2 linked regions of the Oreochromis niloticus genome follow. The protein of the gene in region 2 interacts with the protein of the main gene of each other region in a pairwise test. Links are inferred from orthologs where the notes say so. Each region holds a gene or a part of one and is shown on either strand. Other genes may lie near its edges.

The links.
Region 1: the proteins of kinesin-associated protein 3 (region 2) and ncf2 interact in binary tests that used the Homo sapiens proteins (3 or more experiments, as listed by UniProt). The two-hybrid records come from large-scale screens. The link is inferred for Oreochromis niloticus from reciprocal best matches to the Homo sapiens genes KIFAP3 and NCF2.

What each region holds. Positions count from the first base shown.
Region 1 is NC_031974.2:25,537,622-25,546,735, reverse strand, and holds the start of ncf2 (neutrophil cytosol factor 2), read left to right. Parts: upstream 1-5,099; 5' UTR 5,100-5,139; coding exon 5,140-5,313; intron 5,314-5,518; coding exon 5,519-5,601; intron 5,602-5,745; coding exon 5,746-5,854; intron 5,855-6,003; coding exon 6,004-6,138; intron 6,139-6,359; coding exon 6,360-6,467; intron 6,468-6,691; coding exon 6,692-6,751; intron 6,752-7,032; coding exon 7,033-7,076; intron 7,077-7,810; coding exon 7,811-7,952; intron 7,953-8,114; coding exon 8,115-8,180; intron 8,181-8,356; coding exon 8,357-8,411; intron 8,412-8,513; coding exon 8,514-8,557; intron 8,558-8,646; coding exon 8,647-8,795; intron 8,796-8,875; coding exon 8,876-8,987; intron 8,988-9,114. Other genes in the region: garem (GRB2-associated and regulator of MAPK protein 1), read right to left, coding at 147-1,337, 1,531-1,661, 1,949-2,089, 3,962-4,082. UniProt on the Homo sapiens protein: Subunit of the phagocyte NADPH oxidase complex that mediates the transfer of electrons from cytosolic NADPH to O2 to produce the superoxide anion (O2(-)).
Region 2 is NC_031982.2:1,954,835-1,964,150, reverse strand, and holds the start of kinesin-associated protein 3, read right to left. Parts: upstream 4,305-9,316; 5' UTR 4,186-4,304; coding exon 4,145-4,185; intron 3,132-4,144; coding exon 3,000-3,131; intron 2,103-2,999; coding exon 1,945-2,102; intron 1,625-1,944; coding exon 1,563-1,624; intron 1,393-1,562; coding exon 1,251-1,392; intron 1-1,250. UniProt on the Homo sapiens protein: Involved in tethering the chromosomes to the spindle pole and in chromosome movement. Binds to the tail domain of the KIF3A/KIF3B heterodimer to form a heterotrimeric KIF3 complex and may regulate the membrane binding of this complex.

The sequences.
Region 1 (9,114 bases), on a different chromosome or scaffold from region 2:
ATTTATTAATTTACTGCATAGCAGCTACTCATGCTGGCTTTTGCTGTAGTATTAAAATACACTTGTTGTCAGTGTATTTGCCATCAAATCAACTAACACTCCAATCCTAGGACTGAAAACTCTTGAGTGCAATAGATTATACTTACAGCTTCAGACTTTGGTGGGACTGGTGGAGGAGTAAGAGGCACATCAGAGCTGGTTATGGCACCCAGAGGACAAGTGACTGGGTTTGTCAGTGCAGCTGTTGTGGCACAGTCACTGTTGAGGCCTCTGATTCCTTCGCTTTGAGAGGCTTTTGGAATCTGACTTCTCAAGTGATCCAACCACAGCTCCTCATAGGGAACATCCAGCTTGTTGAGGGTTGGTTGTGGGTTTGTGCAGTCCAACAGCTCTGGGAAAAAGTGTTCATTCTCTTCTGAAGGATGACTGTCAGAAGCCATAAGAGCCCAATCTCCGCATAGTGTCATACAACCCTGCAAGTTGACCTCACTGTTACCGTGCAGGTTGCTGCCATACACGCACACAGACAGTCGGTGGAAGGACTGGGTGAGTTCATCTCGGGCGTAAGTCAAAGAGCTGGGAATTTGCATATGATTGGGACAGCCGCTTGAACTCCCGCTTCCTCCACTGCTACAACTACCATTTCCACTGCTTTTTTTGGGGCTTTTGCCATCTTCATTCCAGTCTGTTCGTACGTCCCGGACAGCACGAGAATAGTCATCGATATCAAACTGTTCCTGGCAGAACGCAAACCAGCGATGCACCATAGTATCTAACCACAACTCTCCTTGCAGCAATTCTTCCGGAACAATAAATCGTGGCATGGCTATATGAAACGGAAAATGGATAGGGATAATTTTATTGCTTCGCAGAATGCAGCACACAACCACTGTTTTCGTCTGAATGTTGACCAATTTGTACCGATGACCCTCCCTAATAAGGTGGAGGTCATACTGGTTGCGGGGTGGAGTGCTGGGTACTGTCACATTGACAGGGAGACGAGTTTTCTCCACAATGTTCCTGATGTTGTGCTCGCCGTCTTGCATCTGAAGCTCAAGTGGACTGCAGGTGCTGAACCTGCCTTTGCACTGGAACGGCAGGCTGATGCTCTCATTGGTGCGATGGTTCATGCAAATCAAGCAAGGCATCTTGCCTCGACCGATCTTACTGATGGAGTTCAGCTTTCCAATCTTCTTAAAAATGGTGTTGAATCTTGATTTTTCTTTGAAGCTTTTGGCGTAAAGGATCTCAGCTTGGCCCATTAACGTCAGTTCATCACCAGTGTTTAGTGTAATGTTGTAAACCTCTGTGTCTTCATTGCATTCCCCTGAAGCCATCTATGAAAACATTACATACATGAATTTCGATATACGCAATGAAATGAATCTACTTTACCAAACTTAACTTGGAAAATTTTAAACTTTAACTGGAAATCTAAAGTTATGAAATACTCTTGGTGGAAGCGTTTAGAATTATAGCTATATATCCTTATTCATAAACCTCACATAAAAATAGATGGATTAAATGTACCTTAACATTGAACATGATTTCCTCCATGACATATACCCTTTCAGGGAACGCTTTGGCCACTTCCTCCACGCTGTTGTAGTACTGCACAGGCTCTTTGACATCTCTGTCCTGCTCGAGCAACTTGAACTGACCTACGAAAAGATGGAAAAGACATGTCAATGGTGTTTTGCACGCGTTTTGCATCAACACAGACTTACAACTATAAAATTACATAATTTATTTTTGACTTATATATTTTAGTGAATAATTCTTCAGTTTAGGCAAAGATGCATCATCAAATATCATATTTAATATCTGATAATGGATATCATATAAATACTGTAAAGCGCTTTCAGTGCTCGGATAGAGTAGAAAAGAATTAGTCCATTTACCATTTACAAGACAAACTAAATAAACATCGACTGTGGCTGCATCTCACCTTCATAGTGAACTGGGATCTCTATTTTGGGCCCAATGACATAATGTCCCTCCTCCAGACTGTGAGCAGTAATAGTCGTCCACTGACGACAGGAATGAATCAAGAGGTAGTCATTGTCTCTGAGCCCTTCAACCAGCTGACCTACAGGTAGTAAAAAAACAAAACAAAACACTATTTACAGAGCAGAAAACAGCATAATTTGCATAATTACAACTTTAAATTAATCGCCAAGTAAGCACTGAACCATCCAGCAACAAAACATCTAAAACAAAAAATGTTCATATCTATGTTTTCACCAGGTGGTGTCTTGGATGTGGGTCATGAGAGAACTATTGAACCTTAATAACTACAGAGAACAGGCCATTCAATTAAATATCACTTGGAGAAACACTGCTTTTACCGTTTCTGTTTTCATACCACTCTTTAGCCATACAGTCTGCTCTATTCAAACTGAGGCATTGGATTACCAAGCACATTTAAAGTCACTATGGATTAGGCCATTAGTCAATGACTAATGGCCTAATCCATACCTCTCTAAAAAGCATGCTCTATCATTCAAAGTACAATACACCACTTTAGTTCTCCATAAAAGGCCAAGCATGTGTCAGGAAGATGGAGAAAATTATTCAAATTATTAATGATCTCAAAGTGCAGGGCACAGTGAGCATGTTTATTTTCAGGCATAACTGAGGATAAAGTAGTTTTAAATATACACTTTCAGACCCAGGTCTGTATCAGAATCAGAATTATTGAAGTATTCTGATTCTGATTAAGATACAAGTTCAGACCCAGGATTGTATTAACATATAGTTTAGTTAGAGGTATAGTAACAGTACTGTGTAAAATTCTTGAGCCCCCACTCATTTCTTTATTTTAATAGGAAAATGGGAAATGGCTGCAACATGTGAAAACATACATGGAAATACAGGCTATACGCAAATGCAGAGTTTGTACAACTCTAACAAAATTGAAAGTAAATATTTGATTTGACCACCTTTATTCTTTAACACAGCCTAAACTCTAAAGCAGCTTTCTTGTAATTTCTTTACACCAGTTGCTGCAGTGCAGCCTCCACCCTATTTTACAGGTGGCTTTAGTCACTCCTGACCTTCTCTGTACATACTCACAATGCTCTGAACCAAACATTTCTAAATTGCATTCACTGCTCCATCAGACCTGATGCTACTGATTTTCAGTCCAGTTCTTGGTTAATTTGGTATTTTTAGTGGACTCAACTAAATAAATGGGAATCAGAGTGTATACAGAAGACTGGCTGCTCCATTTAAATGAGGTACTTTTTTTTGTCCTTGAAGAAAACTGTCAGATACTGGAACTACAAAAACTTTGAAAAACCTTCAGAAAACCTGGAGAACTATTGCTCAAGACCACTTCAAAAAATGCAATAAAGTCTGGCTATTTGTAAGCAAAATATGAAGAAATGAGTGGTGGCTAAATACTTTTGCACAGCACCATAACATTATCATGTCTTAATTCTTAAAAACAAATAAATAAATACTTGTCTTTTTTGTAACCAGAATGAAGACAATGATGCTTCTCAGCTTAAACAGAGCAACTAGGTTACGATTTAGTTATAAGATTGGCATTGCGACTCAGCCTGCAACAATACATGTATATTAAAAAATGTGGCTTTCCAATGGTGGAGCTAGACAGTATGTGGTACAACTCATCAGTCGTTGCAATATAGTTTTTACAAAACCTGAAATAACTTAGAATAACTTCATTACAGAAATGACTATAGGGTTTGCACGTTTAATACCAAAAAAGGTGAGATCTGCACAACGGATGCAAAGGCATTACCAAAAATAAACCAAAAAACGAGAATAAGAAAACGCTTATTTTGTAATGTAAACTAGACCACACTGTTGAGAAACGGTAAGTCACACGGCTAAACTCAATCGCAAAGATTTATGTTTCAGGCTTAAGTTTGCCTTTGCTGCTAGCTAGCAGCTAACAAGCGCTGCCCTGATGGCGTGAAAAAGTAAAGTTACTTGCCGTTATCCAGCTTGACAATTTGAGGCAACTTATAAGCACTGACAAGTTGATCTAATGGTAAGGACGTGGTACTCCATGTAACTTCTTTTAAATTGTTGTACAACATTGATCCAAGGTCCATTTTGCTAGCTTACATTAGCCAACAAGAGCTAGCTACGTGTAAACACGGTCACAAAAGGCTACACTAAGCTAACGCACTAAATAATATAGCGACTCTCCGTCCACGGTGTCATATCACGCATGGCATGTTTCTTAATAATCTTCGCATTTTTTCCTTTAAATTTGCCTACGTATCATAAAGAGTCGTTGTCTGATAATGTAGCAGACCCATGTTTGTTTAACTACCGATGGGGCCAGTGCTAGTTTGGATCAGCCGGAGGGAGGCAGCGCGCAAGTCGCTCTGCTGTGATTGGTGGAGACAGTCAGCGTAGGTGGGCTCAGGCGGTAGAGAACCAACCACACAGCAAGGAAGCTGGAATAGTTTTCTTCTGAAGGTAAGGAATACATACTTTGGTAAACAACAGAAAAAAACCCCACCAATATAACTGATTTCATTTACAATACAAGTGAATTAATAAAGCTGTGCTAGAGTGCAAAGCTTGTACTAGTAGGTCACTATCGTTTTTAAAAACTTTAAGCCGGAAGTTGTAGTTTGTGCACTTGCACTGTTTCTGATAACTAAAAGACAACAAAAAAGAATACCGACTGCCTGTTTCGAAGTGTTTTTACCTGCTGTAAATCGTGATTCAATAAATAAATAAATAAACAAATAAATAAAAAACCCTATTACTTTCAGTCTTTCTTCTTATCTTATCCTTGTTTACTGACACATCATTAAGTTGTTCTTGTGTAATCACATTCCCTACACCCTGTCCGTCAACATTCCTGGAAATCTATGGCTAAACATCACACGCATGACATATGTGGTGATGGGAACGTATAACAAAATCAGATTAGCTTTATTTAAATACCACACACAAATAATGAATTGTCATGTAGATGACAGAACATCACATTGGGAAAAAAGGGACAACCCTTTAGCTTTAAGACCTGGTGGTAATGTGATATTTATATATACACCAACAATGACTTTCATCACACTTCCTCTTCTCAGTGGTACAAATCAGAGGAACTTCCTTACTGTGGTCTGTAGCTCAGTGTACTCCTAACCTGCCAACATGTCTTTTGTAGACACTCTGCGCCACTGGGATGAGGCGGTAACTTGCGTCAACAGACAAGATTTCTCCAAAGCACTTGAGATTTTCTTGGCTATTCAAGAACCAAACTCCAAAATTTTTTTTGACATTGGCTGTCTCCATCTTCTTAACCAAGACTTCGATGCTGCTGAAAAGGTATGTCTGATCTGCAGGCTGAAGCATAAACACACAAATATTAACAGCTGTCGTATCAGCACATTAGTCCAAACAAGAAACTCTTTTGAAAGTAGCTGAAATAAAATTCTCTGATATGCTGTGTGAAAGCGCAAGTCACTGAGAAAGGAGAAGTAGATCTTACCATGTTTTCTAGAGGAAGTGACTGTTTTTTTCTGTTTCTCAGGCGTTTGATTGCAGCATACGCAAGGATGAACATTTGGCCATCGCCTTCTTTCAAAGAGGAATCACTTTTTACAAAAAGAAGAGGCAAGACACACCTGCCTTTTTCCTTTTTTTTTTTTAAAAAAAGGGACCATATTATTTTTTAAGTTTAATGACGTTATTTAAAAATGCTTCATAGTATATCATATGCAAATGTTTTAACTTTTGTCTCTATGTCTCTATGTAAAGGTATGAGGAGAGTTTAGCTGACTTCCAGAAAACCTTTAAAACACTCAGGGGCAACCAGCTAATAGATTACAAAGCGCTTGGTCTCAGATACATACTATATGCTTGTGATGTGAGTATTCTTGATAACCCGCCCTATTATTAATCCTGAACACTACATCCAAATAATTCATTTGATGTTATGAGCTGTTCATTCATAATACAACTTAGCATTCGTTTTTTTTCCTGGCCAAGGACACAAGCTTAACAATGTCTCCACAGGTTCTCCACAATATGGCCCTGGTTGAAGCTCAGTTGGGTAGATGGGAAAAGGCCCAGGAGTACCTCATGAAGGCTCTTGACTACAAGACAGAGGCCAGGTTTAATATCATCGACAAAGCTCTGCAGTCAATCCTAGTCAGTTGTGATACAATCACTTTTGTGAACCCATTTAAATGTGATTACATGTATGATATCAAATGTAGTAGTTTTTCTTCATTCCATTAACCTATATTTGGTAAGCTAATATGCTTTATTCTAATTTTGCTTTAAGTCAGGTGGATATTGATATGCACGACTGCTGTATTAACCACCGGCAAATATTTTAAGTTTCACTCACAATGAAATTTCACCAACAGAAACAGAAACTTTTCAAACTGGTCGAGTTCCAATCAAAAGAGATGTTCAAACCAAATAAGCACTATGTTGCAGAGCTGGAGAAGAAAGACTACCTGGGCAAAGCAAAGGTGATCTGTTATACAGCCTGTTCTATCTAATCTAGTGTGATTATAAAGCTATCAAAAGTCAGCATCACAACATTTTATTATGTTAGGTAAAATGTCAGTCACTCATTTTATATATATATATGTACACACATACAGAACTTACACATTTGAAATTACTCAGAGAAACCAATAAGTTTATTGTTGAGTGATATCTATAAGCTACTTTCCCCCCCTCTTATCATCAGGTCGTTGCCTCTGTTGTTCCTCAAGATGAGTTCTCTGGATTTGCCCCATTGCAGCCTCAGGTGACACACTGGCTTTTATTGACAATAAAAACTTTACAGTTTGATGACAGAAACAGCAGTGCGTTCTTATCTTCTGTTACTTTATATTAAAATATGCTACCTTGGTGCCTGTTTTAAAAGCTTCCAGTGATCCACATCAACAAAATGGAAATGAACTTGTGCTGCATTATAGAGCAGCACTGCAATCCTTTACAATGTTAAGAATTACTGTTAGATTGAAACTTTACATATTCCAGTGTGTTGCCATGTCTCTGATGGACTGTGTTTTTTTTATTTGATAGGTGGAAGATGGTCCAACTTGTCCAAAAGAGCCTGTGGTTCTGAGGTATGATAGTCACTTTGGATCCATGCAGATTTGAAACTCTTTAAACAGAAATGATCTTAGTATTTAATGATGTTATAGTTGGCAAGTTTTTTTGATATGTGGATTCTCTACTATACATGTTTAGTACAAATACAAAATGGGGGAAAGCATGAGTCATATCTATGAAACTTTGCTTTCCACAAAGAGAAAATGTGACTCAAAGTGTAGATCTAATAATTAAAACCTGAAAATAGAAATGTACCGTTACACAGAATAGTGCCAACTTTAACCTTTGTGTCTTATGTCTCTTCAATTTCACATCAGTTCAGTTCAGTTTTATGTATACAGAGCTAAATCACAACAACAGTCACCTCAAGGCACTTTATATTGTAAGGTAGACCCTACAATAATACATACAGAGAAAAACCCAACAATCATATGACCCCCTATGAGCAAGCACTCTGGTGACAGTGGGAAGGAAAAACTCCCTTTTAACAGGTAGAAATTTCTGGCAGAACCAGGCTCAGGGAGGGTTGGGGTGAGAGAAGGAAGACAGGATAAAAGACATGCTGTGGAAGAGAGCCAGAGATTCATAATAAGTATGATTCAGTGCAGAGAGGTATATTAAGACATAGTAAGGGAGAAGAAGAAATACTCAATGCATCATGGGAATCCCCCAGCAGCCTACACCTATTGCAGCAAAACTAGGGGAGGATTCACTCTTGATGCCATGTGGACATTTCTTGTGTTTACAGGGCTTTGGAAGGAGATCCGCACACTGTGCTCTTTGAGTTTATTCCTGAGACCAGTGATGAGCTGGCTGTAGTGCCGGGCAATATTGTGTTTGTGTTGCAGAAGGGTGCTGACAACTGGGCATATGTGGTCTTCAATGAAAGAGTAAGATCTCCACATCTGAAACTTATTGTACAAATTTTAACACCAGTACATTGTGTTGTTTTTATGCACTGAAGCCAGTATTCATATCAGGTACTTTTATCACACAATTAATGCATTGCTGTTGTCTGCTGAGAGTATACATGGCTGTGATGTCTTTCACAGAAGGGCCTTGTTCCTTACAACTATCTGGAACGTTTGGAAATCTCCTTAGCTTCTAACAAAAACAAGGTAAGCATTTATTTTTCATTATTCTCAATTGTTGGTGTCATAATCAATTACTCTGGTAATGTCAGTGCTTAAAACATTGTAGTTTCCTTTCCAAGCTTTCCTTTCATTCTTTCCAAGTTTTTAAAATAACACAGACTTTACTTTTCTTTATTTTGAATGGGAACAACTATAAACAGGGAATAACTCCACCTCCAAGCCGAGAGCCACCCACCAGACCTGAAAGGATACAAGGTAGGCTTTTCTGGTACAGGATACAAAAATTAAATGAGGATTTTCCAATGATATCTGAGCCTTATGTGAAAAATCTAATTTTCCACATTTTCTTTATGTAAGGTCTTACGCCAAGAGAAGCCACTAGTGGAAATCGTCAGCGTCAGGTATGCCAAAGCAAAGAAAATGAGAAGTACTGAGATGTTTAATTCTGGCTGTTATTTTAAGTTCTTTTATTTCCTCTCATCATTTCCAGGAGAAACAGTCCACAGACAATTCATGTATCGTCAAAGTGCATTTCAATTTCAACTTTGTCGTCTCAGTCCCGTCTGGGTCACCCTACACAATGCTGATTGAGAAAATCAGCAGGAAACTGAATCTTCCTTCTTCTGCAGTCACCTTGAGGTAGAGCACATCATTAAGAAAACAAGAATGTTTGGTATGCATTGTTTGTACTTACAACTGAATACCTTTACTGGGTTTAGTTTAACCTCTGAGGCAAGTGAACAAAGTGTAATCAGTGCCAACACAGAAATGGAGAAGCTGTGGAGCCGTGCCAGCAGTGGGCGTGTCACTTTGTGGTGTAACACCAAGGAGGTAAGAGAGCAACCATCTATTGCCATGTTATTGCTGTTGTTACAGTAACAACGGCAATAAGTAGTAAGTAAAATATTCCCAGTATTAGCGATACTGAAGTACTTTTAGTATCTTTTTGTTTTTGCAC
Region 2 (9,316 bases):
ATCAGAATTATAATATTTGAATTGAATCGATTTGGGACCTTGTGAATTGGAATCGAATGGATTCTAGAAATCAGTGACGATACCCAGACTTATTCCTGATGGTTAGGGACAAATGCAACTGCATGGCAGAATGCTGTAAATGGACTAAACTTCAGTCAGGAGAACAACTGAGATAATCCATCCACAATACGAGGTTAGTCATTAATATACTGCTGCATGGCATAAGCTTTAAAATGAACAGTGGTAATAAAAACCGAGAGTAGCTGAAAGTGATCACTGCCTTTTTAGGGGCTTTTTCAGATTAAATAGAACAAGATACAAAGCATTAAAACACGTTAAAAACACAACAGCCTTGATAAACGCAGAGTAATTTTCACCCAGAAGCAGAGTTCATATGTCATCACTTAAAAATTGGATATCCCACCTGCTGTGAATGTTTTAATGCAGTACAGTTGTTATTATTATCATCATCAATTGTGACATCCTGTTTATGACAGTTAAAATAAATAACATTGATATAAGAAACTGAGCCAATTCTGCCATACCTGGTGCGCGGGGAAAAATGATCAATATGCTTTTTGTGACATTTTTTTGTTTGGTGGTGTGATTTTTCTAATGTGAAATAAGTGCCATGGCTCCAAAAGGTTGGGAAACACAGGTTTAGAGTGACCCATTCTTTCACTAATGTTTGCAAAGCAGACCGCATGGCTAGTTGCTTGATTTTATACACTTGTGGCAATGAGAATGAAAACACCTGAATTCAAACAGGTAGCCCAATACTTTAGTCCATACAATATATCTAGCATCAAATACCATCATAACACAGAGGTCAAAATGGAAGTATTCTAACAATAACCCAAGGAGACAGCCTTTAAGTCGATACTGAGCACTGGTTAGGTTCAGTTATTTTGTAGTGCAGAAAAAAATGGAAAAATATGCTAAGAACTTGCTACTGCTCTGGAGAAAATGACAATTATATATAGCACTTCTAAGTAAAGCGCGCTGCATTTAATGATTAGACAATCAGAGAATCAAATGTTCTTTCTGTATGCAGAAAAATATAGCTAAATAGAAATCAATCAAAAAGGTAGTAACCAATGATGTTACACTAACTTGATTAAATGTTTTTAGTCAAACCATATCAAACATTTTTAAGAGATGACACACTTAAACTATCCAGGAATGTCAGGAAACTGCTCTAGGTATGACTCGCTTAACCATCAGAATTAAGATGGAGAATAAAAGTGTACCATTGTGCAGTAGCTCCTCCAGGTTATCAGGGTTACGGGCAAGCTGCAGGATGAGAGCTGAGCCTCTGATCTTCTCTGGAATCCCTTCATAGAGCAGTTCAATATACTCATCCACTCTAGTTATACTGGCCTCCTCATTTAACTACAAACACAAACAGACACACAAAGTTATTGACTGATAACAAATGCATTCTTTCACCAGCCAAACTATTTAAACAACACATTTGAGCAACTTCGAGTTGTTGCTATAATGAAGACAGAACACGTGCTTACTGCTGTGTGAGATCAAACTACAGTGGAACAAATGGTTACCTCTATGCCTTCAAATGGTGTCAATTCTTTGGGCTTAACTGTTCTTTTTTCTTTTTTTTCCACTGGTGACAAAACACACACACACACACACACAAACAAACAGCCAAGATAAAGCACATCAGCATTAATTCCAAACTTGAAAACTTGAAACTTAACTTGCATTAGTTTACATTTTCTTTTATTAGCATCACAGTGCATACTTTAGGTCTGCCATTACACTACAACCTCCTTACATGTCTTAATATTTCTAGAATGTTTACAGTACATGCTGGACTAACAAGCTGCCAATCTACATGTGGGACTGAAGTTAGCCAAAGTCGGAATTGGACAGTAAAGATTTTGGGCTCCAGAGCACAGGTGCAATGAAGGTGGTATGACTAACCCTTGCTCTCCACTGGGGATGATTTCCTGTTCTGCAAGTAGTACAGGAGCTGCTCCACCTGGGGCAGACGGGAAGCAGGGATCATCTTACACTCCTCCAGCACTTTCTTTGCCAAAGCTCCCACATCTGTACTAGGAGAAAGACTTTTCATGCGGATACTGGAGCATGAAAAAAAGAGCAGAAGAGAAAGCAGAAGCTAGCAGGTTTCATTAAATTCAAAACAAATATACTGATTGTAAAACTGTGGCCCAACACCCTTTTTTCCTAGCATAAATAATACATATCTTTTTAATCCTTTCCTCAGGCAGAATAGTCCTCTTTTCACAAACCTAATGTAAAAGACACTGTCATGATGTCACCCACTAGTTTGTTTGTGAGGTCCTGTTGTGATGTAAAACCTAAAGACAGACACGCTCAAATGGTAGTAGAATATCTAGTTAGGCCTGCCTTGCAACAAAACCTTATTTATTAGCGTTTATTAGCAGCAGTTAAGACCATAAAGTCATTTTCCAATCAGATAAATCCTTTGCTGCTGATTATTGGGACTTACTTTTCCAACCTAGAAGCTACATTCGTCTTTTATATACAGTATATGCTGCCCAATTATGCTAACGTCACTTGCTGGCAGAATGAAATTAATGTGACAAAACAGATAAATATGAGCCACTGACACATGTAAATGTTACCTTATTTACAAATAGGTATATATTAGTAAATGGGGCAATATTAACTGATAGAAATATGTCAGCACATGACCAAAACATTGTTTTGTAACATGGCTTTGTTACCATCCACCAACGGAATAAAAGTTCATTGCAAAATGTATGGAATTTGTTACATTTTATTTTTAGTTGTCCTCACTATTAAAATATACGAAGAAATGATTACGAATTATCTGTCCAGTTTAGATGGATTAGACTGACAAAGGTTAATTTGACATAAAAATCTAATCCAATCAACTTAAAAGCTCTCCTTTTTAAGGAAAAAAAAGATTTCGAGTTCAAAAGGAAACTGAAATGAAGTGTTTAGGAGCTGTGAGTCAAGAGGCCGCTTACATTTTTTGTCCCTCCTTGCGTTCTCCAAGCATATGTCCTCCACTCTCTCCAAGGATAGATGCCTCCACCTCATAGTGGACTACAAGGGCCTTCTCTGTGGGATGGACGTCCAAACCGCCCACAGTCACTTTGCTTTGAGTGATCAAGAACAGGCAGTACAAAATACGGTAAACACATTCCAGTTATTTAATTTACATCATACCATATAATAACTGCATCGGACGCAAAGCAGCTAGCAAGTTCATTTCACAACAAAATGACTTTACATGTTGCTACAGAAAATAGGTCGTTAATTGCCAAGCCAGTAACAAATCACCAGCACTAACAATAACGCATAGGAAGACACGCCCAGACAGTAGCATAATATTACTATACTGGCTAGCCGGCTAACAATAAAACACGATTTCACAGAGTTGAAGCATGACAAACATGAGCTCAACTCGGTGCAAACCCCTGATTGCAAATAAATTCAACACTACATGCAATTAGCTAGCGATTATCCACCACAGTTTAGCACGGAAGCTTGCTAGCTATTTTAGCTGAAATTCAGAGTTCCAATCCCCCTTCACGTAGGGAAGCTAATAATAAACCCAGTTCAAGAATGAAACATTCTTGAACTGGGTTTATTATTTTACTGGCGGATTTATAAGTCAGTGGAAAACGTGAAATCAGTCGTTATTTGTTTATAAGTTGTCATGCACTGTAGGCTCCTTTTAGAAATAATTGGGTAACTGTGCTAACGAACGGGATGTGAATAGAAGCATGAAGGCTGATTTAAATTGTGAGATATTTTAAGTGACCTTTCTGTCAACTGCATGTACGCCAAACGGACCAGCACGTTGTCGTTATTCATTTAAAACAAAAACAATTATATGCTCGCATTCTGCACCGAGCAAGAAAACAGGAAATTTCCCAGATTGGAAAGGTAATTAAACATCGCGCTATATAGAGAAATGCCATGGATCAGGGCAAGCTAATTAGCAAGAATTTCAATTTAAAAAACGCTTCCTCTTATCTTCCAAGTGTTTGTTAAACGTTCACAGTAAAGCTGACGTGATAGTATGGACACCATATATTACTTAAATTGGCGTACAAGAGACCGTAGCTAGCAAACGATAACATTACTCTTAGAATAATAAACTCACGTTATGACTGACCGTTTGAGATAACGTGCATCATCCTGCATCTTCCTCAGATTTAAACTTCAATATTTTTTAATGAACGTAACAGTACTGATGTGTCGAAGCTCGGGGGAGTTTTTGTGAAGCGCGTATCGAGGCTCGCTTTGATTACGTATGCAGTAGCGTTCGTACCACGTGACTGATTCAGTAACTGGCCCGCCGGTTCGCGACAGATTCGAAATAAAATGGGCAGCAAAACACGCTTTTTTTTGGAATACGCTTTATTGACAAAGCACACAATACAGTAGTGATGGCCAAATGAAGCTTTCTGAAGCACTGAAGCTTGTATTGAAAAACGGTTCATTACTGGAAGCTTTTCAACACAGTCCTCTCTGGTGACATCTGGTGGCCAAAAATATGAAGAGCAGCTTGAATCCACAAAATAAAACCAACTGCTTCATAATGATAGCTCACTCTACAGAGTGGAACTCTGTCTCATATTGGGCTGCTGTTGTGTTGCTTTGAACGTGTATTTTTTGGTGTTAAAAAATGTAGTTTATTTGTTTAATAAATAATTTTGACCAGTAAACTTTCCTTGTGTGAACATGCACCATGGTTTGGTCTTTCTTTGCTTGTGACTTCTTGATGTTGGTAAATACAATAATTGAAAAATACCACGTTACATATAACATACATATAATAATGCACATTATGCAGTATGCTTCTGCTGTGAGGTCCTGCCTCCATGTACTTATGCATTTAATCTCTAGACGGGTATATTTATAAATAATATTATATTAGGGAAATTTGTCTATACATATTTTTGACCTGGGGGTAGAATTGATTGTGAAATGGAAAGGGAAATGCTCATGAACTTGCAAATTAAAAACATGATGCATTTAAGGAAACCCTTTTTCATTTTTATTTAAGAAGAAAATTAGTTCCACTGTGCGATGGCCGAATCTGTTCCTTTTCGTTCAGATAATTTCTCCTGCCTTAAGGAAAATCCCTTCACATGGCACAGAAGAGGCTGGAGTGCAGAAAAACTGGTAGAGATGCAGTTATGGCTCCACAAACTATCAGCTAAAGAGAATAAATAAATTAAATTGCTGCACATTTTGTAGACTAACATTTTAAGGTTATTTTTTTAAATAAAATATATCTTTTTATAACATTAAATGTTACGAGTCAAATGGAAGTTATTTAATGATATTTATATTATGAAAAGCAGATTTTTTACATTTTAAGTTTTTCCCGTTTTCAGATAAAATAAAGACGCACAAAACAAAAGCAAACAGCCAGAACACAAAGCTGGAAAACCCACCCGATTGACCAGAATCAACTCAAAATACTCCCACACAACAGAACCAAATCTCTCAGTAGAATGATCAGTGGTTCGCTATCTGTCACCATCAAGACACTCCACAAATCCCGCAAATGAGAGTTACGTGCGTAATGAAGCTTCGGACGTCTCTGGTCACGTGACTTTTGCCAAACGAAGCAAGCCTCGACCATTGACTGTAGAAAACATGGACGACGCCACAGCTCCCCAAAAATGAAGCCAAAACGTCTCTATCGCCCCCTGGTGTCTGGCTGCAGTATAGGTCATAAACCCCGCCTCCTCCATGTTAGCGGATGGGACTGGGGTCAGAATAAAATAAATTTATTCTCCTTAGATAATTTTTTTCCAAAGATTCTTTCTTTTGTTATCAATAGTTCTCATCATGCTGATTGATGTCCAAGGGGTCTCCTTTCCCATAAGTTTGATTCTAATTCCTACAGCGGCGATGTTAAATTGGGGTGAAACGTCATCATAGCAGCTTTGACTGGCAGCTGCAGTCACGGAGAAACTTGCGTATCTGTGTTCGGGAATAGCAGATAGAGCGTAGGCTCTGAGAGGAGGGCCAGCGTTTACGCTACGAAAACACGACCGAGTGTTTTAACCTGACAGCCCGAGGTGTTCTTCAGTAAACTGGACTACCCGACAGAAGGACCCGAGGCCCCGCTGCATTTTTCGGTAAGTTAATCGTGTTTGTAAGCTAATCCGTAACTACTGTCCTTAGCTATGTCCTGAGACCTAGCTAGCTAAAATGAGCACTCGGCTGTCAGGGTTCGTTTAGCTAATCTGTGCAGGTGAATGAACTTACTAAAGAAATTAAGAGAAACGTTCCGGGCTAATCAGTCACTAATTACTGTTACTGTACTTTTATTACAAGTATTATACTGTAAAAGCAACAGGCTGCACCCTGCTTCAGCTCCTGTGCAGAACTGAATATCAAATATATGCAAACAGCAGCATGTTTTCAGTCTCTTGCCACATCTGTAAAGACAGTAACATTTTTTTAAAAGCTTGTACTTCAGTAACTCCTCATTAATCAGGAACTATGGATTAAAGTACTGTAGTGTATTGTAATACTGAAAAAAATGTAAGAGAAGAACTTCAGATCCTGAGTGTGTGAGGACAGAAGAATCAGCTTTATTTCAATTTTGAGGGATAAAATTTATATCTGAGTTTGATGGTTCTGTTCTCTTTGTGATTACAGGAGCTGCCCTCAGATTCAGACCTCAGCACCACCCAGTGACAGCAGACAGATCATCCAACATGTTAACTGCAAAATGAACTGATGAAAACAGTACAAAGGTTAAAGTACCACATGTCCTGTAGTGAAAGCTGCAGCTTTATTGATAAAGTTAAAGACAAAAAAACAAAAGGATTAATCACTCATGTAACTGTGTCACTATATATCAGCATTAACAGGACCTCAGTTTGGTGTTTCACAAAGCTGCTGATCTCAGACCTGCACAGCTTCCGTTTTAAACACTTGATGTACTCAGCTGCATGAAGAGCATATGAGATTTTCTCTGGCACAATTAAATAAAACCTGATGAAGGTCAAAGGTCGTCACTTGTATGTTGAACTACAAACTTGTCATCTGGAATTCTTTCACAGTTTTCTGCAGATAGTGTGTTATTTACCATAAAGTGATTCAGAGTTATTCATACCAGAGTAACCAGAGAGGATCATATATTTTTTTTAAATATATAACTTTCTACAGGACTGAATATAATATCTTTATGTAAAAGTCTGGAGCCTCTGGGGAGTATCCGAGTATTTATAACATTACACAAACCAAAGGTCTCCATCACAGTATTCATGAAATGCTGGGTTTATCCATCTCCTGGATCGGGCCTACGGAGGAGTGCTGAAGATTTCCCTGTGAGGGAGCTGCTGGTGAAGATCATGAGTCCTGCTTGATCTATGCATGAGCTTCAGTCTTCTTGGTGTTTCTTAAATGAAGCCTCTCTCAGTGGGTCAACAGAACTTCTGGCACAGGACAGCTGTGATGAAAGAAAAGGAAGAAGTTTCTCTAAACCTCTGGACCCAGGAAACCCAGCTTGGTCCTGATGGTCTCCCTCACTAGTTTCTCTCCAGGGTGAATGTAGCTGTTGATAAAATATGGACTCTATTATTAAATGAAAAGAACAAATTAGACTACACTACTGAAACGTTCTGCTGTTTTTTTTAAAGTCTCCATGTTACCAGGCTGTAGAGTACGGTAGAGGGCTCTGAAGATTTAAACAGTTTTAGATCCATTACACTCACAGTCTTATGTTAAAATCTCAAAGGACAGCATTATATTTTTGATATTAACAGTAACTCTGGGCCTCTGTAGAGTGTGCAGATGATCTCATCGCTGTCTAAAAATGGATAAAAACAAACATAAGAAGTGATGAATCCTTCAATAACACAGACTATTAGAGTAGCAGGTGTGTAGCATCGCTAACTAGCTAGCAACAAGCCTCCAACACAGTGCGTATGCTAGCGGCTAATCTAACTAACGAATTAACAACAGAGTGATTTTAGAACTATAAGATGATAAGCTGTGTGTCTTCTTTTATAACAGTGACATGGTTGTATTTACCTTAATTAAACGAGTCGTCAGTCGCGGTAAACCAGCAAAAAAACTCGAGCAGCCGGGCTACGTAAAAAGTGTAGGGGGGCGTGTTTGCGGTCATGTCCAGCGGGTGTGTGGGCGGGAACGTTACACAGTCGCTCCACCTCAAGTCACTACTGCGCAGACTCTGGCTCCAAATTTGCAAGATGGCAGCCTCCACAAGCGGGATATTTTGGCTTCATTTTTGCACAATGGTAGGAGGCGGAGTCGCGTCGTCCATGTTTTCTACAGTCAATGGCCTCGACACAGTGGCCGTTTATCAATGCTCAAGTACGCGAGTACGTACTCGCCGAGAACGCGAGCACGGACTCGTGGGATGTTTCTCAATTCTCAAGTACGCGAGCACGGACCTGTGATTTGTACAGTCGGAACACCTGCGTACGTGATGATGTCACAGGTCCGGAGTTTTTACTGCCGTCCCCTCCTAATTTAACTGTGAGTAACATGTTATGAAGCTTAACTTTAATCACAGCCAAACCGGTTTACTCAGGAACAAATAAAACACTGAAATGAACCAAACATTAACATTTAGAAGTGATCTAAGTGACTTATATATCATTTTTAACCTCAGTAGTGAAACCTCTATTAATAAAAATAGTGTACATGTACATACGTGTACATACCTTAATAAAAACAAGCAGGTGAGATGTTAGAACGCTTTTATTTCTATTCTAGTGGACACTCAATACTATAGACAGCTGCTGGGGTTTCTTTAACCTGAGTAGAGAGAAGTCCACGAGCGGGGGGGGGGGGGGGACGATGTGCCGGGAGTCCGCTGTTGAGTTTTGGACGAAATGCATTCTGGGATATTTAGCTGTCCCAAGTCTACACCGATGCATGGGCGGATCGAGAACACATCCGGGACTTTTTCGCGTTCTCGGCGTGATGCGTACTTCGAATTGGAACAGTACTTGGTCTCCGACTGATGACGTTTCACGAGTACACGAGAACGCAAGTACGCACAAGTACGCATATTGATAAACGCCCAGTGCTTCTGAACCAGTGTGTTGTTTTTTTCAACGCACGCTCCGGAGCGTCAGCTTCAAGCGGGCCATCACTACAATACAGATACAAATAAACAAAACACAATGTCAGGGGGTTTCGTCCAAAAAAACAAGTATACAGTCTACTAAAGAAACACATAATATTGAACAGGGAACATAACTTTATGGTTTTGACAGCTTTTACATTTTGAGAACGTTGTATGGTTTTAACATATTGTTTGGTTTCATTTAAAAAG